Linked DNA regions of Drosophila melanogaster. The protein of the gene in region 1 purifies or fractionates together with the protein of each later gene. This does not show direct contact. Each region holds a gene or a part of one and is shown in the gene's direction. Other genes may lie near its edges.

What was found.
Region 2: the proteins of Agpat1 (region 1) and Prosbeta4 purify together in Drosophila melanogaster (affinity purification with mass spectrometry, with the first as the bait; one large-scale study listed by BioGRID). This does not show direct contact.

The regions. Positions count from the first base shown.
Region 1 is NC_004354.4:12,756,251-12,772,596, forward strand, and holds the start of Agpat1 (1-Acylglycerol-3-phosphate O-acyltransferase 1), read left to right. Parts: upstream 1-9,015; 5' UTR 9,016-9,353; intron 9,354-10,319; exon of another isoform or gene 10,320-10,428; intron 10,429-10,718; 5' UTR 10,719-10,913; coding exon 10,914-11,104; intron 11,105-13,440; coding exon 13,441-13,574; intron 13,575-13,664; coding exon 13,665-14,371; 3' UTR 14,372-16,346. Other genes in the region: PAICS bifunctional enzyme, read right to left, coding at 1,802-2,604, 2,673-2,785, 3,213-3,357, 3,462-3,665, 4,099-4,123; pira (pirate), read right to left, coding at 5,048-7,093.
Region 2 is NT_033779.5:16,728,886-16,743,645, reverse strand, and holds Prosbeta4 (proteasome beta4 subunit), read left to right. Parts: upstream 1-11,512; 5' UTR 11,513-11,612; coding exon 11,613-11,703; intron 11,704-11,777; coding exon 11,778-12,003; intron 12,004-12,068; coding exon 12,069-12,357; 3' UTR 12,358-12,466; downstream 12,467-14,760. Other genes in the region: BuGZ (Bub3 interacting GLEBS and zinc finger domain protein), read right to left, coding at 82-116; LSm7 (uncharacterized protein), read left to right, coding at 586-600, 660-977; ChLD3 (chitin and LDLR binding deacetylase 3), read right to left, coding at 1,421-1,699, 1,758-2,280, 2,342-3,074, 4,452-4,650; glu (gluon), read left to right, coding at 5,369-6,504, 6,566-7,190, 7,252-7,565, 7,627-9,310, 9,379-9,849; Nubp1 (NUBP iron-sulfur cluster assembly factor 1), read right to left, coding at 10,079-11,014; CG17996 (uncharacterized protein), read left to right, coding at 12,686-12,737, 12,791-13,095; Tsen2 (tRNA splicing endonuclease subunit 2), read right to left, coding at 13,113-13,375, 13,430-13,868.

The DNA.
Region 1 (16,346 bases):
TGACTATATCTGAATTTCTGAAACGCAATATCCCAAAAGCTAAAATGGCAGGGTATTTTCTTATGAACCAAGCTCTTGTCTTTTTTGTGTTTTCCTTAGTTTTCTCAACATTTTGTTACATTTGCTTTGCCATTCATATTTCTTATTGCTTATTGTTGTTTCCAACAACAGCAGACACTTGTGAGCGGGGTGTGGCAGGCGGCGGGGGGTGGTGTTTCGGTTGGTGCGCCAGAGGGAGAGGCAAAACACAATGGCCACACTTTGACCCTGACTTTTAATGTGTACATTCGCCGTCTCACTCGCACCCTTCACCCGTCCCGCTTCTCTTATGCTAAATTATTGTTATTATTATGAATTGTGCTTCGTTGTTTGTGTTTGTGCTTGTGCTTGTGTTTGTATTTTTGTGGTGTTGTCTGCTAAACACTAAAGTATGATTAATTGACCTGCGGTGGCCGGCGCACTTTAGCACATATTTTCCCGGTCTCAGTACTCCCCGTCTCCCCGTCTCCACGCCTCCCAATCCCCTCTACCACAAGGTATCCATATGATTTTCCCAAGGGGCATATATATACATATGTACATACATGTATTGTAGGTTCAACATCATTAGTAGTTTACTGCTATTAGCAGTTTAATTTGCATAACTAAATTGGCCTTTATCAATTATGTACATATATTACTATATTTAATATATATACCTAGTTTTATTAATGTAAATTTTTCAAGACAATTAAGCTAAACATAGCTATATTTAAAATGAAAATAAAGTTCATTGGTTTACATTTGATAAATAACTCTTTTATTTACATTTTTTGGAAATTTATCTACAATTTCTCTTTTCTCCAAACGTGGTTTTTAATACATTTTTTTTAGCATTCTAGATGCTATTTTAATATATAAACTATACACATGGCTAATTCCCGTTTTTTGTTTTGTTTAATAGAGCCAAGAATCACGTTTAAAAAGTGCAACAGTTTAGTCATTCAAATCGTCATCGTCTCAGCCCAAAAGTATGCTACTAATTAGTTTGAACTAAAAATTGGCAAAAATAAACAAAAAAAAACTTATTGTCGGTTCTAAATTCAAACTAAATCAATTTAAAAATTGGCTAGGGAACGAATGCAGATTTCTTCTAAACGTTGCTCAAAATCAACACAAAGTCAAAAGAATAACTGTTTTGAGCAGCTAATTACCAATGCTAACAATCCCTATCACCTTTTCAAGGATTTAGAAAAATTTATTTTTTGACCAATTTTTGCATATTTTGGTAAGGTAAATTTACAAAAAATGGCAAAAAAATAGAAATACAATTTTTGGACACAGTTGAATTGGAAATTTAATTACGAGCTCGACGAGATATGGCATTCCATACTCAGACAATTATTTTTAAAGTTGCGTCCAAGAAAGGGAATGTTTTTACTCCAAAAATGGAGAAACATTCAATCACATTTACGTGTAATCCATGCTATATTTCTTTTATATTTATAAAAAATTCAGCTCAAAGTGCGTAACATTTAAAATGTAATTTTTATTTTTTGTTATTTCGAGTTCGTAACCTGTCAAGAACGTGGTACAACAAGTTGAAGTCATGCTTTCCTAATACTAATAAAAAAATGTTTGGTTTCAAAAAAAAAAAAATAGGAGAAAGAAGAATTAACAAAGTATGTGATCTGATGATGACCTTTATGGGATCCCTGGATGATCGCCGAACGGCAATGATCAGGGAAGGATTCTCTATATATGGCCTCCTGGTTGATATCCAATGCTGATATCTCCCACCATAAGCTATGATAACCAGCAACTAAGCATTTCGCACGCCGCGCAACTCCTTGTCGGCCTTCTTGAGAGTGATAAAGTTGTTGAGCGCCTTGACACGCAATTTCGACCAGACCATGAAGTTGCCCAGCCCCAGAATGGTGGCCGCATGCAGAGCAGCTGCCTCTGGATAGAGAACTGTGGCACAGCCCAGCCCCGATGGCAGATTCAAGCTGGACCACACGTCCACCTGCATGTTGTCCGATTTGACGGGCGGACAATTGATTACCGGATAGTTGGTGCTGCCGGAAACGACTGGACCCAGTCCATTGGATCGCCCGGCGACGGCCACAAAGATCAAGTTGCTCATCACCGATTCATATTCGCGGACAATGCGCAACGTTTCCTCCGGTCCCTTGTGGGCCGAACTCACGCGAAGTTCCACATTAAGGCCGAGGGATCGACAGCTGGTGGCTATCTTCTCGCTGTGCGATATATCGGAAGCACTGCCCATCAGAATGACAACCAGGTGATCCTTCTTGGGCACAATATCAGCCAGTTGTTCGGCCACCCAAATGAAGTTCCTCTTTACGGTATCCAAATCGCTGGCCGTCACCGATGCCAGATTGCGATACACCTGCTTGTCGACCATCAAACGCTTGTCACCCGCTGGCCACAAGCGCCACGAATCGGAATCAATGATATCGGCCAGAACTATGTTGCCATCGTCGCAGATACCGAACTCCACTTTCATGTCGATCAGGGCGCAATTCTTGGTCTGCCATGCCCTCTCGAGAATCTCGAAGACCAGCAGTGTGGTTCTACGCATAATGTCCACCTCATCTTGGCCTAAAGAAAAACATGTTGCCAGTTTTAGATTTGTATATGTAAAAGTGCTTTATGCCGCAAGTACCCACCGATCACCAGGCCATTTAGCTCGAACTTGGCGGAGACAATTTGCTCCTCGCTCCACTGGGGATCGTGGTTGGCATCATCCTTGAAGAACGTCTCCTGTTTGGGCGGCGAGAACCTGCGCAATGCAAATGTAATTGTAGTAATAAGGCAGCAAATTGAGGCAAATAGATGAATAAATTAAATATCAAGTGACATTTGTATTACTTCTAGTATAATATATATTCTACAGTAACTCAAAGAGGCGAACTTGTTGGCAATCAAAGCCATAAAAAAGAGCTATTGCCTTGGTATGACGACATCAAATGAAACGAATTTACACATAGCATCTCAGCAGCATTGCCCTGGCGAAAATCTTGACTTGAATTACAGATTTCGTGGGCTTTGAGTTCACAAACGATCAATCTTATCAGCGATTGTTGACCCTGCTGCAGTGCATCGATTGCATTTGAATTTGTTTACCGCAAGCGGACACAGATAACACACAGATCGCAACAAATCGAATGGGGTGATAACCCACAGCCAGCCATTGGCTGTTTACCAACCTGTAGCCCTCGGGCACGCCGACATTGCGCTTGAGGAACGAACCGGTGGCCAGGCGACGGGTCACCCACTCAATGGGTATCATCTGGCACTTGCGGGCGATGAAGGCCTTGGCGCCGCACTGCTTCACATAGGCGGTGCGAATGCCTGTCGAATAAGAAGCATTAATTAATTAATTAATTGATCAATTTGGTTAGAAATTGACTAAAATGCATTATAGTTGATTTGACTTATATGGTTTAGCAACTCACCTGCCTCGTTGAGCAGCCGGAAGACCTGACCGTTGGTGGTATTGGAGATCTCCGCCTTGCCGGCCAGATCATGTGCTTTGACACCATCGCCGGCGGTGATGCGATCCTTGCTGAGGAGCAGGCAAAGTCCTGGCTGCTCTGGCAGATCGTACACCTGTTTGGTTTTGCCCTCGATGATGACCTTGCCGAGCTTATAGCCCTCTACTGTGGAAATTCAAGTTGCAGTTGCATTCGTTACGTTCGGTGTTTAGTTAGTATTTAGAATCGATGCTATATGATATATGATGATACTGATTTAAGGAATGGAAAGACAACTTGTTTACGAAATCCACAATTATCTTGATTTAAACAATGGAAAGCCAGCCTTCTTGTTTACAGCAGACAGCTCAATAAACAGCATTAAAATATTATCAGAACCAGGAAAATATTCCGTTGTTTTATTTTTTTGAGTAACCCGAATAACTGTTTAAATAAATCCAAGGCTGGCGGGAAAACATAAACAACTGTCTTGCTTTCCATCACATTAAGCTTGTCTTTTATTGATGAAAGATCGAATAAAAGATGGTAGCTTTGGTACTATTTACGTTCTAGGCACAACAATTGTTTATTTGGAAACCTTGGCGATGGATAAACTTACTGGATGCTGTTGTGGTGGTGGACATCTCGTTAATCGCACGTTGTTGGTCACTTCACTTTAAGAATCGAAATTGAAATCAATTGGCTGCTGGCTGTTTCACGTGTTGCGGGCTTTGCTTTATGCTCGATATTCGCTGGTGCCTTCCCTCTCGCTCTCGCTCTCTATCTCTCTCTCTGTCTTTTTCGCTCTCTCCGCTTGGCTCTATTATTACAATCCGCAAACTCCGATGTTCGTCTGCATCAAAGAATCGCTCCAAAGCAACTGAGCGTCTATAGAATCGCCGGCGCGACTTTATGGCTCGATTTTCTTATCGCCGAACCCCAACACCAATGCAAAGAGATCCATGTGTTTGCGCTCGCGTGTGTGTGCTTGCGTGTGGGTGTGTGTGTGGGCTTAGAGTCGAGTATAATGCTGATTGGTAATACCCTGCAGTTTCCCAAATGGCCGATGAACACCGCGCGGGGCAACTTATGTACTTATGTACATACATACATATGTACATTTTTTGGCAATCTATAAAGCTTTGCTTATGCGTGACAAATTTTATTGTCGCATTTTATTTACAAATTTTGTTTCTAAAATATTTTCTATTCATTTGGTGACTTTCTGAATTTTGAATTTTTCTTGATTTTTGTCCATTCTCCAACTCCTGACATCCACCTCGTCCTGCCTAACATGCTCATCCTGTGATCCTGATCTCTGTCTTTGTCTCTGTCTCTATCTCTCCAGTAGGTAGCCTCTTTATCGTCTTGTTGGCTGAACTGCTCTTTTTGGTGATTGTATGTGTGTATGAAACTTTTCCTTGAGGGAAAAAACGTATATTTCTGGTGAACCCATCTCCGCCGTGTCAATTTGCTCCTCCTAGTGTTCCAAAGCATTGCGTTGCGATCGTCTTCAGTTCAGTTGTTTTGTAGAAAATATATGTATTTTCACTTCTCTCACAAGTGGTTTATTTGAGTGTATTCCTTCTCCTCGGCGGTTTTCTGTCTTTTGAACAAACCAACGTAGTTTTATGCTCCTCTTTAGAATTCTCCTCCTCGCTATCCTCCTCATCCATCACCAGTTGGCCATTTAATGTCGGAAACTTAATGACCGGCAAAATTTTGCGCTGCTGATTGCTTTCATTCATAAGCTTCTTGATGAGATTAGCGATATCCTCACGCTTCTTGGTTACTGTGAGCAGGTCAAACCAATTGCTCAGCTCCTTAATGGGCAGTGTATAGTCGTTGATGGGTTTTGTGAAGAATTGCTCCACATATTGCAGCAGATAGAGGCCGCAATCTGTAAGATTCTGCTGTTGCGGCACCTCCACACTATGACCGGGCATATTATCCTTGTTAAAGACATGCGCCAGCGCATTCGGATACTTGGCCTTGTGCTCACAGGTGAGATAATCCCGCAATATGGCAATCGCTCGATGTCTTGAGGTGACTGCCAACGAATCGAAAATAAGTATCAACGGCTGTTTGATGGGAATATCATCACTGAGTGTCGTCTGCACATTATTATTGTTTACCACCGGGCTTCTAAGGTTTGGATAACATATAATGGCCAGTATCCAATGGGACTGCTCATTGAATGGTATTATAATGAAGTCCTTGTCGAATATATTGACGTTTCGTGTCCACTTCTCAACCCTTTCGTGACGCTTCTGGGCCGCCGTCTGCTTCGTATTTCTGGGATTCGTTCGTGTGGTCAATCTTTTGTGGAAAAACGTGCTAAAGATATGCGTCCTATCGCGCTGTTCCTCTGGTATGATGTTATTCTTTAGCCAGCGCAGATAAAAATCAATGATTATATCGTTCAGATACGATCCTTTACTGAGACACATAAAGTCCTTGATGGTGATGCTCAGGCCACCGGTACCAGTTGGCGGATATGTGAAAAGGGTTTGATTCTCATCGGGTGAAAGTCTTCTCTCGGTTTGGCCATCATCGGCGGCGGTGGTCTCCTCATCACCGCTGCTCACCAGCACCACGGCATCTTCATCAACGTCCCTGCTTAGTATCCAATTGCGATTTCGGCGCAGGCGACTACGCTCTGCGCGTTCTGCTGGTGTGGGTATAGCAGCGTCGCTAGTTGCTTTCACCGCTGGCGAGGATATGGATGCAACATTCGATTGCACCCGCGATTGAGATCCACCAGCTGTCTCTTCCGATTTCTTGCTAACAGCGGCATTGTTCCTCGACTGGATCCACTGGGAGATTGCGGGAGCATCTTCAGCTGGTTGCACGCCCCGAAGACCATTACTCGTCATTGTAGAATTGGAGGTTATAGCCGTGGAGTTGTGACTTCCCTGTTTATTGCCAGATGAACTAGGGTTGTCATGAGAACTAGCAGCTTGAATTCCATTGTTATCCTTTGCAATATGGCACTTCTTCTGTTTCTTGGCCTTGGTATTAGTATTGGCGTCTTGATCCGCCGACAATATCACTTGGCCATCATTGTTTTCTCCCGGACTCCCGCAAGGACTTTTCTTGTGCTTCTTGCCTTTGGTTGCACTTGCAGCTGGCTGGCAACCATTGTTGGCCACCGCAGTCTCTGATGGTTTGACAACCGCAGGGGAGTGCTCTTCACCGGCCATCGCATTGGGTGGAGCGGCATCAGCCGATGATGCCTTTGACTGATGCACCTTCCTATAGAACTCCTCCGCATGGGCAACCGTCTCGGCAATGTTATCACTGATGGGGAAGCCCACAGAGACAACCAAATGGATAATACCGCCGGCATTCTCAATGCAATCAATCGTGGTGCTCTCATCGATCTGAAGGTCCATTTGGAAAAACAGATCCTGCACCCTACACGCAAGATTCGGCAGCTTGAAGGTGACGATGTGCTGCTTTCCACTGCTGTAGATAATCAACATCCTGGCACTTCCTTTGTCCGGATCCGTGTCGGCTCGATTGATCAGCAATTGACGTGAGACTAATATAAAGTCATTATGGGCAATTCGACGTACCGCTTGGTCCTTCGAAACAGTTTCTTTGCGATCCATTTTGGAGCCGGATTCAATAGTATAACATATGTACGTTATATGGGCTGATCTGACTGAACTGAAGTTTCTCGTTTCGATTGCAAATTCTCGGGCTGCTTGATGTGCAAAGTTAACTGGATGGTTGAAGAGTCACCTAACACGGTGACTTTGATCACTATATTCCTTTCATTTTCCAATCTGTGTGTTTTATGCGATATTTGATATCTGTCTATTTTTATTGTTGGGGTAAACGGCGTCCCAAGTGCTGTATCCAAAAATCATCTGTGCGAGTTGCTATCGCCATCGGAGTTTTGCTGCTCATATCGATACATATGTATATGTTTCCAATTGGTATGGATTTTGTGGGGTGTTTTTAAAAATATGTATCGATAGTCCGCTTTGAAATTTGAATGTTGCGAATATTGAAATTAAATAATATTTGAACTGACGAAATATAGGCATTTAAGCGAATCTTAGCTAAGCTAAGTTCTTTGCTTTTCATTTACAAGTATTAGTATTCTTACATGTGGTATTTACAAAGTTATAAGTTCAGCCGTTTGTTGCAAGTTCTTTGTATGGGAATTTTTAAAAACCAAAAATTTATTCTCGTTTTAATTTCAACATTTTGCAAATACAAGTACAGACATTAATCAAATTATAGTTGTGCGTCCGTCATCGGGTCCACCTGTCCGATTTTTAGTCGTCAGCATTGAGCTCCTCTCACCACATGGATCGCTTGGCGGCGATAAGAAAATCAAATGTAAACAAAAATATTATTGTTTTTTTGTTTTTTGCCAAGAGCGTATTTATAAAAAAAAAAAAAAAACAACTGACAGACACACACACGTTTTCCTTTCCGCGGGCCAAAGGGCTCCATTTCGCAATTTGCATCGGTTGCCAAGTGCGGAAAAACGCATCTAAATCACAACGTTGTTAGCTGTCAGAAAGTTTGCCAAGTCGAATTCCTTAAATGTGAAGCAACTGGAAACTGGCTTTTGTTTTACATTTACAAATTTACTATTACTACTACTGTATATACTTTACTAAATAGTGTCATATCTGTGCTGGCTGCAGTAATATATTTTGCAAAATATATTTTTATTCGAATTGTTTTTTCTTATGCATATATTAATTATATATATTATTTAAAATATATTTAACATTTAAGCACGTGGAAAATGCATATGTAAATAATACAACAAGCCTGCTCTATTTTTAAATATCCAGCTGAGTACATCATATTTTTCGGGAAAAACTTATGCTATGTTTTCCGTTAGTTCTTTATTAAATTGAATTTTTCGTTGTAGTCATATAAACTTTTTTGTTTGCTCTAACCAAACCGTTCGCAGAGAAGATGTCATATTTAACTAACAGCTTTATTTTTTTTTTAAATACGCGGGACTTTAATATTTAATTCTCAATTAATTCTCGAAACGATGTTTTTAGTTCATGCTTTTTAGTTCCAAAGCTGAGACTCAAACCCAATGCCAGCTCCATGCAGCGCGGACGCACACACCGCTCGCTATCGATACCCAACAATTAGCCGTCTATCGATATTTGCAGACTATAATATTTTTATTTACACTTGTTGAAAAAGAAAGAACATTTATTTATTATTAAATTTAATTTTTTTGTAATTTAATATAAAACAAATATTAATATAATAAAATTAAAAAAAATAAGATATATTTTCAGATGCATAATCTTAAACTGGTATTGATAAACATAAGTTTGTCGGAAATCAATTGATCGGAAATTTTTTGGCCTCCACTACAAATTGAAAATGCATATACAATTTTAAGATTGCATGCTAATAACTGAAATTGAATAAATTTAAATTTGAAGAAATTCGTTTTCTGAGTCTTCGAATAGCGATGAAAAAAAAAAATAGACATCGATGTTTCGGAAAATCGATAAAAACATCGATGCATCGATGTTAGCTTCGATATTTCGGTACCGCTAGTTGCCACGAAAGTCGCTCGAACGCCGGTAACGGAAATTCTCAGCAAACGCAGCGCAACGTCGTTTTCGCGTCGCCGTCGACGTCGGCGTTGTGTCGTCGCCGCAGCAGCAGAAAATAAAAATAAAAGAGAAGAAAAAGAATCGAAATAACTGCATACGAAATAGATCGAAATAAAAAGTAGTCGCTTTTATTAAAATCCACAACAAACAAAAGCCGAAACGAAGAAAGTGAGCATTCATTTGTTGTTGGTGTGTCAAGCGAATTCCACACGCAGCCGCCAATTGTATTAAATTCGAATTGTTTAATTTAATTGTAAAGGTTTGTCCACAACAAAACGGAGCTGGCGAAAATTGCATTTATTTATGTTTAATTCGAGTGTTTTTGTGTGTGTGTGTGTGCTATGTGTTTTTGTGTGTCTTTAAGTTGATTTCTTTTGCTATTATCCTTGGCGTGTCTGTAGTTCTCTCTGCCACCCTCTCTTTTTGAACGCTCTCTTGGCGCAACCCCCTTTTACCGTTTTTTGCTTATTTTGTTTTGTGCCAGATGTGTTCGTAAGGGAACAACAATATTAACCCTTGATGGACCCAGTTTGCAAAATAGTAAATAATAAGTAAATTTTTTGACACAACGAAAAACTCTATAGTTCTTCCTATGCACTTGAAATACAAATGAACAGAAAACAAATTCATATTGTAAAATTGTCTTTTTATGCAAATGGAGTTAATTTTGGAGTTAATTTTGTGTTCTTATTTATTAATATAATATTTGAATTAAATTTAATGAAGAATTTTTTTTAATATCAATGGATGTCCTCGAACTAACATAACGCGCAAGTGTTAAGACTGAAAATGGAAATAGGGGCAGCGAACCGAATAAAGGAAATGGCAAACAAATAGACAATTTATTTAGCTGATTATATGCAGCATTCAAATCGGGATTCAATAGCATATCAATTGATAGTATCTCATTGATAGTATCTATTAAAACCCGTAGAAAAACACAATATGGTATGCTAAATTCCCATTCCTTCGTTTCTCCCCCGTTTTGTTTTGTTCCGTTTTTCGCCGCTGGGCGCAAATTTAAATTGATTTTTTCTCTTTCTTCTGGGCGGCTGCACATACAGCTGCGGTCAAGATATTAGCATTAGTTCAATTCTTTATCAATACCATATGCACTCTTTCACAAAACCTTATATTAGCAAATATTTCCTATTCACTTTTATTTTGGGTATGACATTTAAAAAGGGATCGTATTTTATGCAAGTTTTGCTTTTAACTTCAACTGCTTGCAATTTTTTTTTCCCCCTGAACTGTAGTATTCATCACTTGGTGCGCTTGTGACGTTGTGGTTTGTTGCACTCGCATAATTGTCATATTAATACGTGCATAAAAGAGTGAGCAATAAAAGTAGTGGAAGGAACAGGAGAAATGGCGTGCAACACAGCAATTGCCCATTTCCCCTTTCTCCCGCTTTATCAGCACTTAAAACACACTAGCCCAAAAACATAACAAAAGGACGGTGCTTGTAAAACTGTAAGAATTAGCCCTTTAACGCCAGTTCCATTGTTCTTTGTTCTGATTGCTAATAATTTGGTTTATAGTCTTCAAACTTTTACTACATTATTTATAAATATTAACAAATTTGCTCATTATTTATAAATATTAACAAATTTGCTCTTTTCAGCGCATCGATCGGAACAACAAGGATATCCACACACAAACCACACACCTAAAAGACTGTAATCTGCCTTAACCATAGGAAAGTCAGAGAAAGAAAAGCCGGAAGTCCCATACAGGATAGCAAATCGGGCGAAGATAGCAGAAGGCATCTGGATCCAGGATCTGAAACGGTTGAATCACTAAGCATAAACATAATCAAATGATCACCATGACTTCGTTTATCGAACTGCTGGGACTTTTCTTGCTGCTGATGCTGCCATTCCTCTATGAGACCAATCACATATTCCGATACTACTTCAAATTCCTGATGTACTACGGCATCGTGTCGTTCAACTCGATCATCCTCATCCCGGCATTCCTCACCAGACCATGCGATGTCCGCAATCTGCTGTAAGTAGTGCAAAATATTTTTATGCAAATATCATGAAACACTAAACCAATCTGATATAAGAATAATAATACCTTTAGTTATCAAGTACAAGTATAGCTCAGTTAGAAGAGAACTCCCATATCTGTTTATTGAGTTCAGCATGTTTTGATTTAGCACTAATGGGCTGCCCATCTATATATCAATAAAGCACTCGAGTGGCTGATTGCCAATCAACAAATTGTAGACTCATCGATTAGTAATACAATACACAAAAGTATTTGCTAAAGTGTTTTCCATTATGCCTAACTATAAAACATAAAACTATATCGTATTTTAGTTACGACTTCGTTATAATGCTTATTTGGCTTCAAGTCTTTTTCTTTATCAAATCAAACATGCTTTCCAATGGTGATGATATCACCACGTTAATTACAAATTACAAAGTGCAAAATGATGCACTTTATCATGCTTACGAGTAACCTTGACCCAAATAAATCTTAATGTCATTCACTCTAAAAATTTTAATGGAATGATTTAATAACATTTGTAGGGAGCACTTAACTTCAACACCCATGATACCCCTTTTAAATTGCTTGCAAACCCAAAATAATGCCAAATGTCTATTCACTTTATGATGATTTTCCCATGCAAATTAATGAGCTTAATGAAACAATTTTCATCACACATCACGCCACCACAAGACAATCAAATTGGTGGTAAATAATGCATTATATTGGCTTGACGGGCAAATGGAGTAATTGCGGTATCACCAACTTAATTTCAACCGAAATAAAATTGCCTTATCATTGAAGACCGCAGGTGGGGCGTCCTTTTCGAAACGGTCTCCTTGAGTTCCCAAGGCGAATGCCTCAATGACACATACATTTGGCCATCAATATTAACAAGGGCCCAACTGCGGAGGAGTGACTGCAGGTGTCCGCAATGCACTTCTGGCCAACTGGCCAACTGGCCAACTGTCACTCAAGGACCCAGAAAGTCCAAAAGCCACAAATTGTTGTACACTTGAAGAATGCGAAAGAATGGTATAGTTTTTGTGTATGCAAAAAGCACCTTAGACACCTTAGAACTAGTTACTTTAAATTTATTTAATTTATTTAATTCTGATCAATCAATTTAGTTTAATTATGATCATTGCCAAAGTTGCAACATTATCTAAACTTTTTAATCTCCAAATCTCACAAATAGTTTAATATACGCTTAAATAAGTTAAAAGATATAGATTTATTGCTTCATAAACTTATGTTTATGATGTTTGCGTTACCAATTCCGGTATCGGAAATTGAATTTGTGACGAATTTCTTGCCAATTTGCCGTCGCGATAAGGTTTTTTTTTTTTATGGCATCCTCGCTGGTATTTGTGGCCCATGGTTGTTACCTCTAATGTGGCTAGCTGAATTGAAACACTTGAGAACTATAAATGTTAAAAAAAATACATACAAACAACAAAATGCAATGGGTATCGTACAGTTCTGATGTCGTAAAATTCGTAATTATATTTTCTTAGTGATTTGTGTTAGTGATTTTAAGTGAGGCCAGTGCTGCCTAGGGTCGTCAGTCCAAGGACGAAATTTTCGAGGGGAATTGAAACGGACTGTTGGGTTCTCGAGTTACCAGTTGGCTATGACGCCAATCTGGGAAAAAAAAGGGGTACTCTGTGGCGAAAGGGAGCAGTTGCACGCAAGTGGAAAAGCCAGGGAAAACCGAATTGTGTCCCCAATGCGGTGGGTTTTTTTTTTCATTTTTTTTTTTTTTACCATTTTGGTATGTGGTTAGTGGCAGCTGGTAGCTGGTAGCATTGCTCGCCACCTCGGCGATTTTGCGCGACTCAAATAACCATTTGCATTAGACAACAATGAATATTTGATATCAGGGGTGGATTACTACAAGTCCAACGTAGTCGCACACACAAATACCACTCACCTAAATCAATTATGCCTCTTGCCAACTCAACTATTTTATGCAGTTTATCGATCCATTTTCGGAGGCGCGAAATGAACGACGAGAATTCCTAGTAAACAGTGTGCACCCTCCTAGGGGTATAATTTATACAATTCCCGAGCTGTAATTACATGTCATGACTAGCTGGATTTAGTTGTAGTTCAGGTGGAATGGTTATCATCCCGGCGACAAGGTAAAAATCAGAGCTACGCCTCGATGGCTGTCAACTTGATTAAATAATGTTGCACTCACAATTGGCCGGTGGATTTGTTATGGTATATGGATTTCAGAAAATGACCGATCCCTCTTGGGCTCCGTATAATATAATCTCTATCGAAGAAATCACTGATTACAATGTTACTAATATATTTTCGATTTCTTATTTCTTTGTTTGTAGATGGGCGAGCACCTGGTGCCACCGCGTTTCGACGTTGATTGGCCTGCGATGGGAGCTGCGCGGCAAGGAGCATTTGGCCAAGGACCAGGCCTGCATCATTGTGGCCAATCACCAAAGCTCGCTGGATGTGCTGGGTAAGCCTATAGGTTTCTCTATGCCCATCAATCCATCAATCAAACAGTGATGCCAACTAAATGAGACTTTTTTTTCTTTATGATACGCAGGCATGTTCAACATCTGGCATGTGATGAACAAGTGCACAGTGGTGGCCAAACGAGAGCTCTTCTACGCCTGGCCTTTTGGCTTGGCGGCATGGTTGGCTGGCCTAATCTTCATCGATCGTGTGCGCGGCGAGAAGGCGCGCGAAACGCTAAACGATGTTAACCGGCGCATCAAGAAGCAACGTATCAAACTGTGGGTTTTCCCGGAGGGAACGCGCCGCAATACGGGCGCACTGCATCCGTTCAAAAAGGGCGCCTTTCACATGGCCATCGATCAGCAGATACCCATTCTGCCGGTGGTCTTCTCCTCCTACTGCACATTCCTCAATGATAAGAAAAAGATTTTGAATTCGGGTCGCATTGTGATTACCACGCTGCCGCCGGTTAGCACCGAAGGACTAACCAAGGACGACATCGATGTGCTAATGGAGCGTGTCCGCTCCCAGATGATTGAAACGTTCAAGGTGACGTCTGCGGAGGCGTTGCATCGTTATAAGCCCATTAAAAAGGTTGGAATTCCAGCCGCCTCATCAGCATCAACATCATCTACGACAACAACAACATTGGCATCACCGGGAACTGCTGTCACTCCCGTTGCGGATGCGGCAGTGGCTGCCGCAGCTGCCGTGGCCAGTAGCAGTTCGGCATACGGTCAACCGCCGGGCTACGAAGCCGGAGCCGCAAAGGCCAGCTTGCTCAAGACACTTTAGGCTATGCAGCAATTCAATTCAATCCAAACACACACACACACACAGCCAGCCACACACACTCATATCCAAAAAATACGAAACACCTCATGGCGTAGCTGAAGTGTCACGTTTTGGGGGCTTTTAGTTGGACACGTTAACTGGCAATCAGCTTTATTTGGGCCTATTTGGGAATTCTATAGTCCACAGTTGTGCAATTATCGTACACGTGCAGTATTTGTTTTGATATTATTGTTTAAAGTCCAAACTATGTTTTGTCATCATTTTATTGCATACTTTTCGTAATTTATTTCTCTCAAAAATGACTTTATGTAAGAATATTTGTCATTAGAGTATTCATTTTGAGGCGTGTGAAAAATTAATAAGGCAATGATTGTTGAGTGCTTCGTGCCTCAAGATATGAACAAAGCAAAGACACTAGAATAATTCTAGTTATCATATTTTTTAATGAAATTTATGAAATTACAGTAGTTATAATAATTTCTATTGTACTTCCTTTAATTAATTAGTATATTTATTAAGTCATTTGACTTAAAATGATGTAACATTAACATTAAAAGTGTTTCAAAAAAAATATTTCGCTTTTAAAAAATTGTCAGATGAGAGACAAATTAGAATTAAACATAACAAATTTTAACAAACAAATTTAAAAAACTTTAAAATTATAATAGTCAGGGCGCGAATTTGTAAAAATTTTTTTATTTTATCATATTGCTAGGAAATTGGCCAAAAATACCCTAATATGTACAATGTAAATTCGTTTCTTCGATCAGAATTGATTTCGGCCCGAAAATCGTCTTCTAGCACAACACGCACACATATACGCGTTCTCGTCTCTTGTTTTTACTCACACAAGCAAGCAAATTCTATTTTTAGATTTCTTACGCTCTCAGCGGGAGTGAGCGGAAAGAGAGTAATTTTGGCCGTCAACAAAAAAGTGGCATCTTGTTATTCTAGTGTCTTTGGTTATACCCTGTTGAATGGAATCGATTGATTCAAAAGCAGAAGCGAAAGCTGCTGTCGATTTCAATTTTATTTAATTAACTGAAAAAAATAAGTTAAAAATTGCTGCTTACTTGTAAATACCAAATCCGTACCACTTTAAAACAACGAATTAAGAAAAGTATTACCACTTTAAATAATTTAGCAATATGAATTTTGATAGTGCGCTAGTCTTAACTGAAAAGGTCAAATCCCAAATAGGTCTATGTTAACACACTTTTTTCGAACATAAATCACCTGTGTTTGTTTGTGGAAGTCAACATGTGCATCATTTTGTAGATTTTACGCACTTGCATAATATTTTAGACACATCGAAATGTTAACGAAACAGTGTACTTGAAAAGCCAATTCCATGTTACGATTTCGGCTACAGTCCACGCAGCAAAACATCCACTCACTTTCAAATAGTTTGACTAATTCAGGCACCAAAAAAATGAGTATTAGGAGTAGCAATCACAAAACTGCGATCCTCGACTGTCAGACTTTAACTCTTTTGTAGGCAACACATACCAAAAAGCAACTAAAACAGCAAACCAAAAAACATTAACTCTATCCCTTACACGATGCAACAGGAAGAACAGAAGAACATGTCTAACTCGAAATGGCTTGGATTATTAGGGAATTGTTAAAATCCAAGCAATTTCGATTAGGTTTTTATCCGCCTAGATTATATGATAGTTGCATGTTATCATTTAATCCTGTTGCCGCGTGTACTTGTTAGATGATTACACCAAATGATATGTAATTAAAATTAAATAAATATCTAAACACATATTGTGAATGACGACTAATCTTGCAAACGACATTACATACTTTATGTAGGGCGAATTCTGGTTGATTTTTACAATCGACCACTTGACGAGCAGTTAAGCCAGTTCTTTTTTTTTTGTTTAAAACAATACGTATTTTATTTTTACAAGACATTCCCTAACTAGGTTAGGGTTCCCATTTAAAGGTATTTCCTTACTCGCTTACA
Region 2 (14,760 bases), on another chromosome or scaffold:
GTGTGTATGTGCAGATACAGCGAGCGGCACATGCAGTGAAAAAATATTTATATCTTTGTTTTGCGAAAAGGATACCAGCACCAGGGTTTGGAGGCCTTCTTCTTCTTGCGTCCCATGATCCTAAGGTGGCTTTAAAACACTTAAATGTACAAAATCGATCCGGTAATTGGTAGAAGATAACAATCTGTTGTACTAAAAATTGCTCTGTCGTGGAAAACAAAATGGAGAGCCAGTCAGAGTGACCAGCATATCGATACAAATAAATGAATCTTATCGATATCTTAAACCAATATAATAATTATTATACAAATAAATTGATATGTTCGCCTCAATAGCAAAAGGTAAGAAAATAATTTCACAATGATGACAGTAGAAATAAGAGAACTTTGTTGTCATATTTTTCAAATAACATTAATTCTTACATATGTTTATTCCATTATTATCGATTATGTACCTCAAAAAGCGCGGCCCATAAGATTACTTCACCAGCGCCATCTGCTGGCTAGTAGCGCCTTATTTGGTGTATTTCTAAAAAAATATGCTTTGGTCACTCTTTACCAGCCGGCATTTACCAAAAACAGAATAATGGCAGATAAAAAGGTAAATTAAATAGAATAACTACATTGTGGTGCTTAATCATCAAAATCGTGACTTGTCAGGTGGGTGGCAACAATGACGGTAAGGAGAAGCGCCGCAAGGAGTCCATTCTGGACCTCTCCAAGTACTTGGAGAAACAGATCCGCGTGAAATTCGCGGGCGGCCGCGAGGCATCCGGAATCCTCAAGGGCTACGATGCGCTGCTCAATCTGGTGCTGGACAACACGGTGGAGTATCTGCGCGACTCGGATGAGCCCTACAAACTGACCGAGGAGCAGACCCGCAGCCTGGGACTGGTCGTCTGTCGCGGCACAGCCCTCGTCCTCATTTGTCCGCAAGACGGAGTCGAGAGCATCGCCAATCCGTTTATAACGCAATAGTCCAAGGTTTTGTGGCTGGGATGCGTTCCAGAATGTAGACTAAGTACAAAGCTCTTTTGGAAATCGGTTTAAATATATTTAGCGGAGACATACATACGTATAAATTAGTTCTTAAAATCTAATCAGGCCGCAAAGTACCACGTTTATGAGCCCGCGAAATTGTTTAAGCTTCTCCATAAAATTCAGAGTGTTCCGATTTTAAATTAATGCACTTTATCCTCTTCAGGTATGTTACGAAGTTATCTACGGGTTTGCTTACGGTCAGATTTTGAAAGCTGAATCATCTAAATATGCGTAATCCAATTTATAAATATTAATTTTTCTAAACAATTAAAACCTAAAATTGTATCAATCTTATCCAATTACTTATGGAACGCTCCAAACATTATGGATATATCAAAGCGCCTTGCGCAGAGCCCTATAGTGTCAAGCGGGCTATCACCTTAGTCCAAGCCGAACTCGTTGCGAATCCAGGGATACTGGGCAGGACACTCCATGCAAGTGTAGAAGAATCGATCCTCTTGCAGCACCCGACTACGCACCTTGCACACATTCGGCGTGTTGCAGACCTGCTCGTGGGGATCCAAGTCCTTCGGTTGGCAGTGCCAGGACTCGAATTGGTGCAGCTGGTTGCTGGGCGTGGGATGGCGCATCCACTGAATCGCCTGCTGGTTAGTCACGAAGAACACATCCGGCAGCTTTTGCAGATCGTCGAGGAATTTCTAAATGATCAGGAAGGAATGAAGATCTAGTATTATGGGTAACAATTCGAATATTCACCAGAAATGCATTCAGATAGTCGACTTTCTTGAACCAAGTCGAATGGAAATACAGGCCAAATGGTGCCCTATTGCTGAGGTAGTGCCTCTTGAAGTTGTGCGTGAGCATTCTGTACACATCCTCGCCGCTCAAATGCGGCGGACACGTGTCCACCATGCCGCACATATACTCGCCCACTTCCAGTTGGTTCATAACCAGCTCCCAAATGCCCGGATAACTCCTAGACGGGCAATTCTGATTTACGCCCGTGCAGCTGTGCGGCATCTTGTAGTCCAAGGTGTAGGGCCACAGAGGAGGATTCGAATGCGGCGCAACCATGGATGAATCGTACACGAAGCCAAACTCCTTCATCATGAGAAACTGTCGATTCCAGCCGACGCGCAGAAAGGGTACTCTCATGCCACGAATCTCCTCCATTCGTACCGCTGCGAACTTATTGATTATATTCGCCTGGCCAACCATCTCATCGAACCAATCCTCAATTGTGGCATTCTTGGACCACCACATCTCTGGGCCACGATGCCTTTAATCAATAAAAGTGAAATTTCAATTTTAAATAATTTACAGGCTGATCAACAACTTACGTTACTGAGTGCACTGCGATCTCGTGACCATCGTTCCAAAGCTTCTGCACATACTGATAGTTGGTAAACGGATGTGAAACGTAGAATGTGCCCTTAATGGGACACCCGTTGGGGTTTCGCCTGTGCTGTGTGAACAAAACCTTGGAGAACAGCTCCCAGTTATCGTGATTGATGGCATCGTCGAAGGTCAACAGTATCATCTGCGGAACACTCTGTGCCGGAAGACTGCCGGGTATCTGGGTGCCATCCTTCGAGCAGAAGCACTGCGGCAAATGGCACTTTCGCGGATCACAGGCACCAGCCGCATTCGGATCGTGCTCCACATCGCACCAGCCTTCGTCGGAGCCGTCGGGACAGTCTACCGAACCATCGCAGAAGTACTCCTGCGGCAGGCAGGTACCATCGGCGCAGCCCAACTGGTATTCATCCGCACAGTCGGCCATCTCCAGTAGTGGTTTTGGAGCCGGCGTCTCCGCGCTGACATCGCAATTGTCCACATTCGCCTTGAAGTCGCAGATCTGACGCACCACATCGAAGAGCAATCCCTCGGAGCACTTGAATTCGAACACCTCACCGTCGAGGCAGAGGAAATACTTGGCGCACTCGCTGTTCGTCCAGATCTTGTGGACCGGCCTGTTGGGGTTGCGGTAGAAGCGTGCATCTTGCATGCAACTGGCTGCGCCGGAGGTCGAGCGACGATGCCGAGTTTGGTTGCCGACTATTCCATCATTGTCTGCAAAGCAGGCACACAAAAAAAGAAACTGGGTGTGAGATAGCCGTGTGTAATTAACAAGGAGACTGATTACTGATTAATGCATTGACCCAAAAACGAAACCGCTCACGTCAGCCCAAAATTAGCCGCTTGCAGAAATATTTTTGCTTTTTTCCAGCTGGATACCAATCACGCACTGAAATGGGTGGTGCGCATAGTTGCCAATAGTAGTCAACTATTACGGAGCAAGACGACAAAAAACAAAAAAAAAACCCACGTCGCTACTTCAATTGAAACGAAAAGTTGGACAAACTTCAAGGAAATATATGTATATATGAATGTGTGTAGGCCACTTGCTCGCTTAGAAGTGCCTGAATTCCGAGGACCGTTGGACTTCGATGACCTTTTTGATTGGCTCGAGGCCTCAATTAACATTATATTAACCATAATGTGATCTTAGATGATCTTCCGCCGTGATTTAAACGTGATGGAAACAATAGTAAGACAACTAGTCACGAAGTACAGCTGGCACTAAACTAGCACTCAAAATTATGTTGACTTGCCATTTAAAAATATTTTTCCAATTTATATGCACTGGCAAACTTGGAAATGATTATGAATATTGAAAATATTGGATAAATATTGCTAGAATTGAGTGTAAACTATGGAGCACCTTTGAGATAAGTATAGTAAATTGTTGAACTTTTTCAAATCACTTGTGTAATAGGTCTTTCTGAAACTAACGCCAGCTCCACCCACTTGGAAATGCGTCCCAGCCATGTGCCACATTGCGGCGGACGGGTTGAAATGCGTTTGCATCATGGATCGGCAGCAATGGCCCGTAGCCGTGCCGCACCATATCGTAACTCAGGCGGTTGGGCAAGCGACGCGTGTTGGCCAAATGCAAGATGCGATCTCAAGATTGGAGATATGTGCATACATATGTGTGACTATAGTAGATAGACCGACTGACTGACAGTCCGTGTGTGTATATCTCCATCTCCATCTCGATCTCCATCTGAATCTCAATCTGCAGCTCTAGCTGAATGTCTAGCTGGGGCAGCTGGGCATTTGCAGCATTTAGAAAGTAAATTTATCATCTCCGCCGGCCAGAGAGGCCAAGGCAGCGGGTCAGGAAAATTTCAGCAACTGTCATGGGGTTCAATGCACACGCTCTTTTTAGTTTTTTTTTTTTTTTGTTTTGTTTTTTGGGGACGGGTGCGGGCATGTGGACAACCCGACTTGGCCCCACTTGGCTGGTCGTTTCGTGTTATATAACTCCTTCGATTCGATCGACAACTTTCACACCCAATGTGCGCATGCGCGCATGAGCATGCCAAAAACTAAATAAATTCAGTCGTACCCAATCGAAAAGCGAACAAAAGGGGAGAAAATTACCAATGACCAGGGCGTCCAGCGACGACGACATAATCATAAGCGCCACCATCATCCAGATGCACAAACTGGGTAAGCGGTGGGCGTTGGGAATTCGCGCTGTTGGTTGTGGCTTCGAGCGTCGCTGGGCGGAAGCGACGACCTTGACTGTGAAACCCGTTTGGCCATTTGCATTATAGGCATTTTCCCCCGGGCAGAGCATTTTTCAGCCTGCTTTCCACTTTGCCACTCGCGTTTGTGTTTGGCTGCTTGCTTTGAGCGCTTTAATCTTGCGCGCGATCGGAAAACCGAAGGAAAAACCGCCAGTGAAAATGGTTCCGCACCGAGCCAAAGTCGAGTTGTGACTAAAGTCGTGCGAGATGCAGCCAAGGCATTATATATATTTGGGCATTTCTCTGACTTGCGGATAGCGGAGAGAAAGCTCCGCGCAGTGGGTGTCTCGCTTATGTTTTTGGGGAGCGCAGAGCGCGCTGAGTTATTCATAATTTCCAAACTATTACACGGCTTTTTTGGAAATTAAGTAGTTTGCTTGCTTATTATGAAATTCATTTACTTTACGATGAAATAAATGTATTTCATTATTTTGCTAACTTCATCGAAAAAACTACTTAGTTGAGTTTTATTGTGATTTAATTAATAATATTTCATATTATATTTACAAATATCAGTTTCATATATGTTTTAGAATATTTGAAATTTGTTCTTAGCGTCGATGTAACGACTTTTAATTTAAATTCAAACTACAGAGCTGACAACTCGCCTGATTTATTTAACGGCCTTGCCAGTATTTTGCGGGCACATCAAGACGGTCACACTGCTGATAGCGTCCTATTACCATTGGCGCCCGAAAAAGCGATTTTGTAATTCGAGGATTTTTCCTGGATAAATCCACACGGAGAATTTACTGAGAATAGCGCACGATGCAGAAGGCGCGTCCCAGCAAGGGCACGCCCAAGGCAGCTGGCGGAGCCCGGCAGAGCGGCCAGTTTCGCGTACCGCAGCTAACTGCTCAGCAACAATTGCGGGCGCAGCAACAACAGGAGGAGGAGGACGCCGCCGTGGACGCGCTGGATGATGCACTGATCTTCGACGACGAGGAGGGCGGCACCCGGATCGGCGACATATACATACCGCCTCCGGTGCCGCCACATTGCTCCATGGAGAGCACCGGACCGCGCCTGATCATCTCGAAAATTGTAAATCGGAATTTCAAGAGCTATGCGGGCGAAGTGGAATTGGGTCCCTTCCACCAGAGCTTCACTGCCATCATTGGACCCAATGGCAGTGGCAAGAGCAACGTTATCGACTCCATGATGTTTGTGTTTGGTTGCCGCGCCAATCGCATCCGTTGCAAGCGTGTCTCCACCTTGATCCACTCCTCGTCTAGTTATCCCAATTTACGCAGCTGCTCGGTCGCCGTCCACTTCAAGCAGATCGTAGACAAGGGCGACGGCACATGCGAGGACGTGCCCGACTCCAGCATTGTTATCGAACGCACTGCCATGTCGGACAACTCTTCCTACTACCAGATCAACGACAAACGGGCGCAGCTCAAGGATGTGGCTAAGCTGCTTAAGAAGCATCATGTGGATCTGGAGCACAATCGCTTCCTCATTCTGCAGGGCGAAGTGGAGTCCATTGCCATGATGAAGCCAAAAGGGCAGACTGAAAATGAAACTGGAATGTTGGAATACCTGGAGGATATTGTCGGAACACAGCGCTACATTCGCCCACTGCAGCAGATAAACCAACGGGTAGATCAACTCACAGACGACCGAACAGAGAAGCACAACCGCTGCAAGCTGGCCGAGCGCGAGATGAAAGATCTGGAGCAACCGTTCAATGAGGCCGTCGACTATCTGAAGAAGGAGAATGAGCTGGTGCGCACCAAATCCTTCCACATCCAAAAGATCATCAGCATCAAAAAGAGCAAGCTGGAGCAGTACACCCAGGAGCATGAAGCCTGTGCGGAAGAGCTAAAAACCCACGACGAGGGCACTGCTGCCCTGAAACAATCACGAGCCGAAAAGGAAACAATCATCCGAAAGGAAATTGAGTAAGTACCTAGCTTCAACTTCAAACTGAGCTATATATTACATTACATTACGTAATTTCAGAGAATACGAAGCTCTAGTGAAAAAGCGCGAACAGATCAAGAAAAGACTTGTGACTGTTGAGAGTGCCTACACAGAGATCCAGAGCACAATGGAGAACACGAACAAGCAGCGCAAGAAGGACAAAGCCCAGATAGAAAAGAACGAAAAAGAGCTGGAGGATCTGCACAAGTTGCCGGAGAAAAATCAGCGCGAGATCGAGGATTGCAACAAGAAATTGGAGAGCCTGGAAGTAAGTAAGGTGACACTGAATGAGGAGCTTGAAAAGCAGCAGGCCGAGTTAACTAAAACCACTGCACCGCTTACCGAGAAGCGCCTTAAGCTCAGTGACGAACTGGTGGGCCTTAAGGAGAAGGTCAACACGGCTAAAGGAGAGGTTCAAGTGTTCGAGTCGCAGCTCAAGATCCTTAAACAGGCAGAGACCACTGAGTCTAGGAAATATGAAACCCTAAAAAGTTCGTACGAGCAGTCGCAGAAAAGTCTGGAGGAGAAAGTAACAAGGGTGGACGAGCTGAAAGAAAGCATTCCACGGATGAAGACCGAAATTGCCAGCAAGTCCGCGGAAGTGGACAAAATGGTTAAAGAGGAACGCAACCTATCCATGCAGTGCAACAAACTAAGAACAGAGGTATGGTTCATTTATTTACATTCTATACTGTTCTTCTATTTATAAATACCTTTTCCGGCAGATCAATGAAAGATCTAGCGTCATGCAGGCTCAGCGATCCAATAACAAGGTCCTAGACTTCCTCATGCGTATGAAGATGGAGGGAAAGATCCCTGGTATTCTAGGACGCCTGGGTGATTTGGGTGGCATAGATGCCAAGTACGACATTGCTATTTCGACTGCCTGCGGGCGGTTGGACAACATTGTTACGGACAACTATGAGACCGCATCGGCGGCCATTGGCGCTTTAAAGGAGTACAACGTGGGCAGAGCCACCTTTATTACGTTGGACAAGATTGAGCACCATCGTCGTGAGGCCAACTCCAGGATAAATACGTAAGTAATAGTAACAGAATGAATGGAAATGGTTATTAACACCATTCACGTACTATTGCAGACCAGAAAACGTTCCTCGTTTGTACGATCTGGTTAAGGTTGAAGATGACCGCGTACGAACCGCTTTCTATTTCGCCCTACGGAACACACTGGTATGTGACGATCTAGAACAGGGCACCCGCATCGCCTACGGCAGGGAACGCTACCGAGTTGTGACCTTACGTGGTGAGATGATCGAGATGACGGGAACCATGTCTGGTGGCGGCAGTCGTCCTATACGCGGAAAAATGGGCACCCAGGTGCGCACCAAGACGGCAGAATCGGCTGACAGTTCGCAAATATCTCAGAAGGCGTTAGAAGACATGCAGATTCAGGCGGAGGAGTTACAGGCCCGAGTCAATTATTGCCAGGAACAGCAGGGCAGTCTTGAGCGCGAGATTCAAACCCTGAAGAATGGCTTGCAGCGTGACGAGGCGGAGTACAAGCGGCTGGCGGTGAGCATCACTTCTTTGGAACAACAGATGGCCAGCAACCTGAAGCAATGCGAGGCGCAGCGGCAGCGAATGCTCAAGAAAACAACAGACGAAAGGGCAGTCAAGGAGCGGGAGGAGCAAATAGAAGCAGCGAAGCAAGAGCTGGAACAAGCACAATTCGCCGAACAGGCTGTCTCCAGCCAAATCGAAGAGATCCAGAACCAATACGATACCCTTAGAAATGAAAGTGTCAAGCCTGTGGAGGCCAAGATCAAGAAGGTAAATAGCCAGATAGAAAAGCTGGCCGCCAATGTGCGGTCCTTGAATGTGGGCTTGGCCACAGCAGATCGAAATATAACGAAAATCACTGGAAACAATAATAATCTCCGTGAGAATATAAAAGCTGCAGAAGAAAAATTGAAATCGTTGAATGAGGATCGAAATAAGGCTAAGGAAAAGAAGGAGGAGTTGGAAAAGGAAATAGAGGAATCGGAAGCGTCCATCGAGGGCGCCAAATCACAATCCTCCGATATAAAAAAAGAAATAGATGAGATCACCAAGGAGGAGAACAAACGAAATATCGAGCGCATTGAAATAGATACTAAGCTGCAAGCTGCAGCGGGAAAAATGAACAAGGTGAAGAATGACATTCCCGGATGGCAGGCTCAACTGGCGCCTTTGAAGCTCAACGAGATTCCAGGAGAGACTGAACCGCAAGCGCCACTCAAAGAACTCAACGAAGAAGAGCTGGAGGCAGAGACTCTGGAAGCCTTGCAATATAAGCAAACTATGCTGGAGGAAGATCTGAAAACAAAGAAGCCCAACTTGAGTTGCATAAAGGAGTTCAACGAGAAGCGCTTAGTCTACCTCGATCGCGTCCGTGTGCTGGAGGACATCACCTCCAAGCGCAATGAGATGCGCGACAAGTACGAAGAAGTTCGCAAGCGACGGTACAAGGAGTTCATGGATGGCTTTAGCATTATAACAAGAAAACTGAAGGAAATGTACCAGATGATCACACTGGGCGGCGATGCTGAGCTGGAGCTGGTGGACTCCATGGATCCGTTCACCGAGGGCGTAAATTTTACTGTGCGACCGCCAAAGAAAAGCTGGAAATACATCTCGAATCTCTCAGGTGGTGAGAAAACTCTCTCCTCATTGGCACTTGTGTTTGCCCTGCATTATTACAAGCCCTCTCCGCTGTACTTCATGGATGAAATTGATGCGGCGCTGGATTTCAAGAATGTGTCTATAGTGGGTCACTATATCAAGGTAAATACCTCTCTGCTTTCTTGCCTTACATTCACATTTTAAAGCCAATTGTTGTTGTGTTCACTTAGGAACGTACGAAAAACGCTCAGTTCATAATTGTTTCACTTCGTGTCAACATGTTTGAGCTGGCCAACTTCCTGGTGGGCATATACAAGGTCAGCGATTGTACGGACTCCATCACTATGCTGAACTATCCGCCTACGCTGCCCACTCAGTCGCCAGTGGTCGCTAACAGCCAGTACGTGGGTGGAACAATTGAGGGGGATAACACGATAGCTGCCGAGAACCAAGACGATACCCCCACGAAGAAGAGCCAATCGCCGCCGTCAGAGCAAATAGTCCGCTTGATTAGTGAGTTGGGGAGGGATACCACATTTGCGCCGCCCTTGGAAAGTACGGTGAGGGACACAATACTCGCGCAAAATCTGAAACAGGCCGCCACTGAGGTTGCTGCTCAACCGTCAGATGCCACGGGAAGAGTAACCACGGATGTGTCCCTAGCAAGCCCGCCATCTTCCCCAGCCATACTTAATGTTTAACTCCAACCTACTTCAATATTGTAGAATGTTTTCTTATCCTGTAAAGGGGCATGTTGTAAACTGCCTGGTAATCTAATTTCTGGTAAAGACCGAGACGTAATTTGATGACCTCAGGTGAATCGGTATTTCCAATTGGTATTATCCTTTCAATGCTTAATAATAAATGTTACATAAAATTGTACAGGCATCTTTTTTTTTATTTAAAAACTGAGTGGTCTTTAACTTATTCTTAACTAAAGCTGGCCATAATCTTTGAGCAAATTCCTTCCAGCGCCTCAGTGGTGACATTCTTAAACTCAGTTAAATCCTCGCCAGAATCGCAGGCTTTGGATATCTGTTGATCCAGAGGCAGGGAGCCCAACAGCGGGATTCCCATTTCGGCGCACATGGCAGCGGCTCCTCCGGTTTTGGCTGGAAAGATTTCGGAGCTATTTCCACAATGGCCGCAACGGAAACTGCTCATATTCTCGATCACGCCCACAATGGGGATATTTTGCTTTTTACAAAAGTTGATCTCCTTGCGCACGTCCAGCAGAGACACCTCCTGTGGAGTGGTCACCATCACGGCGCGCAGGGACTCCGGGTTGGCGTCGTCTTTCAGGTACGAAACCACAGACAGGTGCTCATCGGAAGTTCCAGGTGGTGTGTCCAGTAGCAGGAGATCCAGATTTCCCCAGTCCACCTCGCTCAGAAACTGCCTGATCATGCCATTCTTCTTGGGTCCTCGCCAAATAATGGCATCGTCCACAGAGCCCAGAAGAAATCCGATGGACATCAGACACACGTTGTCTTCGATTCCCACAGGTGACCAGCCGTACCCAGACTGGTGGACACTCTCCCCCAGGGCGCCCATCAAACGCGGTTGCGATGGACCGCAAATGTCGATATCAAGCACGCCGAAGTTACTGTCCGGATTACTTCTGGCCAGATAGCGGGTTAGCAAGCTGGTTACCGTGCTCTTGCCAACGCCGCCTTTCCCGGACAGGATCAGCAGCTTGTGTTTGACATCTTTCATGGATTCGACCACCAAAGCCTTGCCGGGATCTTCGAGTTTCTTGTTGGGATCGCTGCAGAGTCCTTGGTTGGGGCAGCCCGAACAGGCACTTCCCTTGCCCGCCTCCTCGCTCTCGACGCCAGGACAGTGTTCCGGAGGTGGTGCCTGCATGGCTCTTAGTTTCAATAGTTCGAATTCCGTAAACTAATTGTGAAATGAAATGATAACAAGGGAACAGTGTGGCCAAGTTATAACCGGGCACTCAACAAGTGTTGATTAACTGCGATTAAAATTAAAAATAATATATAACTAAGATATTCAATTTTATTAATAATTTAATTTATAATTATAATTTATATAACATAATTTTTATGTATATGTAAATATTCATATTCATATTAAAGGAAACAAAAATGGGTTTATTAAAAATAAAGTTTTTTTTTATTTAGACAAAGTTGAAACATTGAAATAATTTTAATTTTAATTTTAGTAAGCAAGTAAACTTATAAGATTTGAATATCATACCAATTAGGTATAATTGAAAATTAAGTATAATTAAGTTAATTTAAAATGATAAATAATAAATATAAAATAAAATTATAAATATGTGTTAGCTTATATTTATTAGTATCTTTTCAGAATAGCGGTATTTTTAGCCGCCCAGCATACGGCCACTCTGCATTTAACTTGCTTGTCATCGCATTCGGCAACTCACAAACAACTTGTAATTTTCGTTAAAAAACCCCGAAAGTATAAATATAATTGCAACATGGAGACTCTACTGGGTATCAAGGGCCCTGACTTCGTGATGCTGGCGGCGGACACCACCCACGCCCGATCCATTATAGTGATGAAAGAGGGTAAGCCCAAATGGTGCTCATTTTCTTGGCGGCTTGGGACTCATTTCGTTAGTCTCCTTGAATTTCCATTGCAGATCAGAACAAAATCCACAAGGTGTCGGATAGTCTGCTTATTTCAACCGTCGGCGAATCGGGCGACACGGAGCAATTTACCGAATTCATTTCGAAGAACATAGCGTTGTACAAGATGCGCAATGGCTACGATTTAAGTCCACGTGAATCGGCTCATTTTACTCGCAAGAATCTGGCCGAATATCTTCGCAGTCGCACGCCCTACCAAGTGTTCATGTTTGTGGCCGGGTAAGGATCATGAGATCAGTCAATCCATTTGCTTTCCGTGCCTAATCTGTTTCTTCTCCCCAAAGCTACGATCCCAACGCGGGTCCGGAGCTCACCTTCATTGACTATTTGGCCAATGCACTGCCTGTGAATTACGCCGGTCATGGCTATGGTGCGATCTTCGCATCCAGCATCTATGACCGATACTGGCACCCCAATATAACCCAGGCGGAGGCCTACGACGTCTTCAAGAAGTGCATTGCCGAAATCCAGAAGCGCCTGGTCGTCAACCTCAAGAACTTCACCGTCGCCGTCGTGGACAAGGATGGTGTGCGAGATTTGGAGCCAATCAGCGCTGCTAGCCTGGCCGCTTAGTTAGGTTTTGATTTAAGCATTTAAAATGCAGTTTTGTAATAAAATGCGTCTGGATTCTTGGCTAATTTAATACACGAAGGTGGTTTATCGGTTTAAAAAAAAATATATTATTGAATTAGCGATCAGTCGGGCAAATTTTGTGTTCTAGACGATCATTAAGTAATTTCAATATTCAAGAAATCGAATTATAAAATTATATTTTATATCTTAAAAATGAATCTAATTTTAGTATACTCGTGGTATTTTTATATCCCTAGTATTTTTCATCGCACCGGTGGCAGTCACTCTAAAAGTTGTTATACAAAATAAATAGTATTTTTAACACAATATGAGCCTTGAACAACAGCCAGCCGTGGATCCCCACAATCCCCATGGACTGGGTGAGTCCTCAGAATAATCGAATATGACCACCAACTGACACTGCCCTTGCTAGGCGATCCAAATGATACTAGGTTGCGCAAGGTGGAGCGCGAAGTGCTGATACCCAAGATAATGCGCGATCGTGCCAAGACGGAGTTCTGCTCAAAGGAGGTGGCCGACTTCCAGGAGTGCTGCAAGGCCAGCAGTATACTGATGGTGGCCACCTGTCGGAAACAGAACTCAGCCCTGAAGGAATGCCTCACCCAGTGGTATCAGAACGAAGCCTTCAAGGAGGAGTGCAAGCAGATATATCTGCAGGAGCGCGCCGACTATCGCAGCACTGGCATACCCAAGAAGCACCGGCTGGAGAAGTTGTAGAGTCCCTGAGTAGTTCCTTATTGTTGTTTGCTTTGTACAAAAGTTAAGTAATTAAAACGCCGCACAATAGTCTCTGTTACTGTGGCTTCCTGCAAATCCCTGGAAGAGCTTATCTTCTTAGGCGGTTGGACAGTCAGGAGCAGCACATCCTTATCAGAAGTTTCTGCCACGCGTTGAACACCCTTCAAGTTCTTTGATTGATAGTGATCCGTATCACCAGGCTTTTGCACAATGACCAAAAAGCTGGCATGGTACAATCGAGGACTTTGCTTGTAGATAACTAAAAAAGGAAAGTTAGTATATATATTTCGCAGCTCTTCAGTTAAGAACTTACGAAAATCACCGCCGAACTTAATACCGCTCTTGATGACCCAATTCTTGGACTTCAAATACACATAGCTGGCCAAGTTCTCAACAAATTTCTCATTGTGCTCTTTGGCGACCTCCACAAACATGCAGAAGTCCATTAAATAACCAGCTGAGTTGGTTATATCTAAAACATTTAAATAGTGGGCCAGGAAGCAAGACTCTTCCATTCCGAGAAACAGGGTTTCGTTCTCGTCTCCACTTGCTGGTCCTCCGCGAGATTTGCTTCCCTTGCCAAAACAACCATTATCGTGCAGGGATTTAGCCTGTTCGGGATCAACTATCTCGACGGATAGTCCTGTAAATCTTCCCTTGTAACGTTCGCCATCCTGTCCACTTGGAAGAGGCGTGAAATTCGCATTCTTATTAAAGCAGCGCTTTCTTTTGCACTCAAATGTAAACTGCATTCTTAGAGATGCCAAAAATAAACAAGCCTTCAAAAATACCAAAAACATATTTTAACCTTTTCAAAACATTTCTGGGATGGCTAGTATAATTGACCATCTTAGTCATGGTCACACTAGATGTATGATTGTAAAGCTTATCAGCTAAACAAACATTGCAATTAAGAAATAAATAAACTATCTTTAAAGTAACTTGCGTTTCTTCATGGAAATCCCTTATAAAACCTCCGTTTTAGAAAAATGGAGGAGGCGCCAGGAAGGCGACATGATTAACATATTCAATGGGACCCAGGAGTTTCCATTGAGGATATTATTACCTGCTGGCTTGGCCACCAAGTAGAGAGAGGCGACTCCCTGCCGGATATCATCTGTCCAGCGTGCTTGAAAGACGCCCGTGAGGCATTTGGATACATTCAAAAGTTGGAAGGGGGGAAGATCTGCAAAATATTAAAAAGCGGGAACTCGGGAATAGAAAACCAGCTGGAAGGCCCTGAAACGAATGTAGCCCAGAAATACCAGGTAAAAAACGAGCATGGAGACGATGAGCTATACCTGGAAGCAGTCAGCAAAGCATAAAACGATCTATTCGAGAAAGACACATGCAAGATAGAAACTGAGGAGGTTAATCAATACAGTCTCCCCAACTATATTTCAACAGCATTGGATCTGAATACAACCCCGATTATACTGAACGTAAACGACGCTACAAGTGTTCCATGTGCACACAATCGTTCGCGGCAGCCTCGCAATTTAGGCAGCACATTTTAACCCATTCAGAAAATAATGCCGGTAGCCAAGAATCGAAGTATTCTGGCTCAGATTTTAGCAAGTCTAAAGAGGACACTTACGAAAAGGATGACTATGACCCTGCATCGGAATCGGACATGCCTGCCCA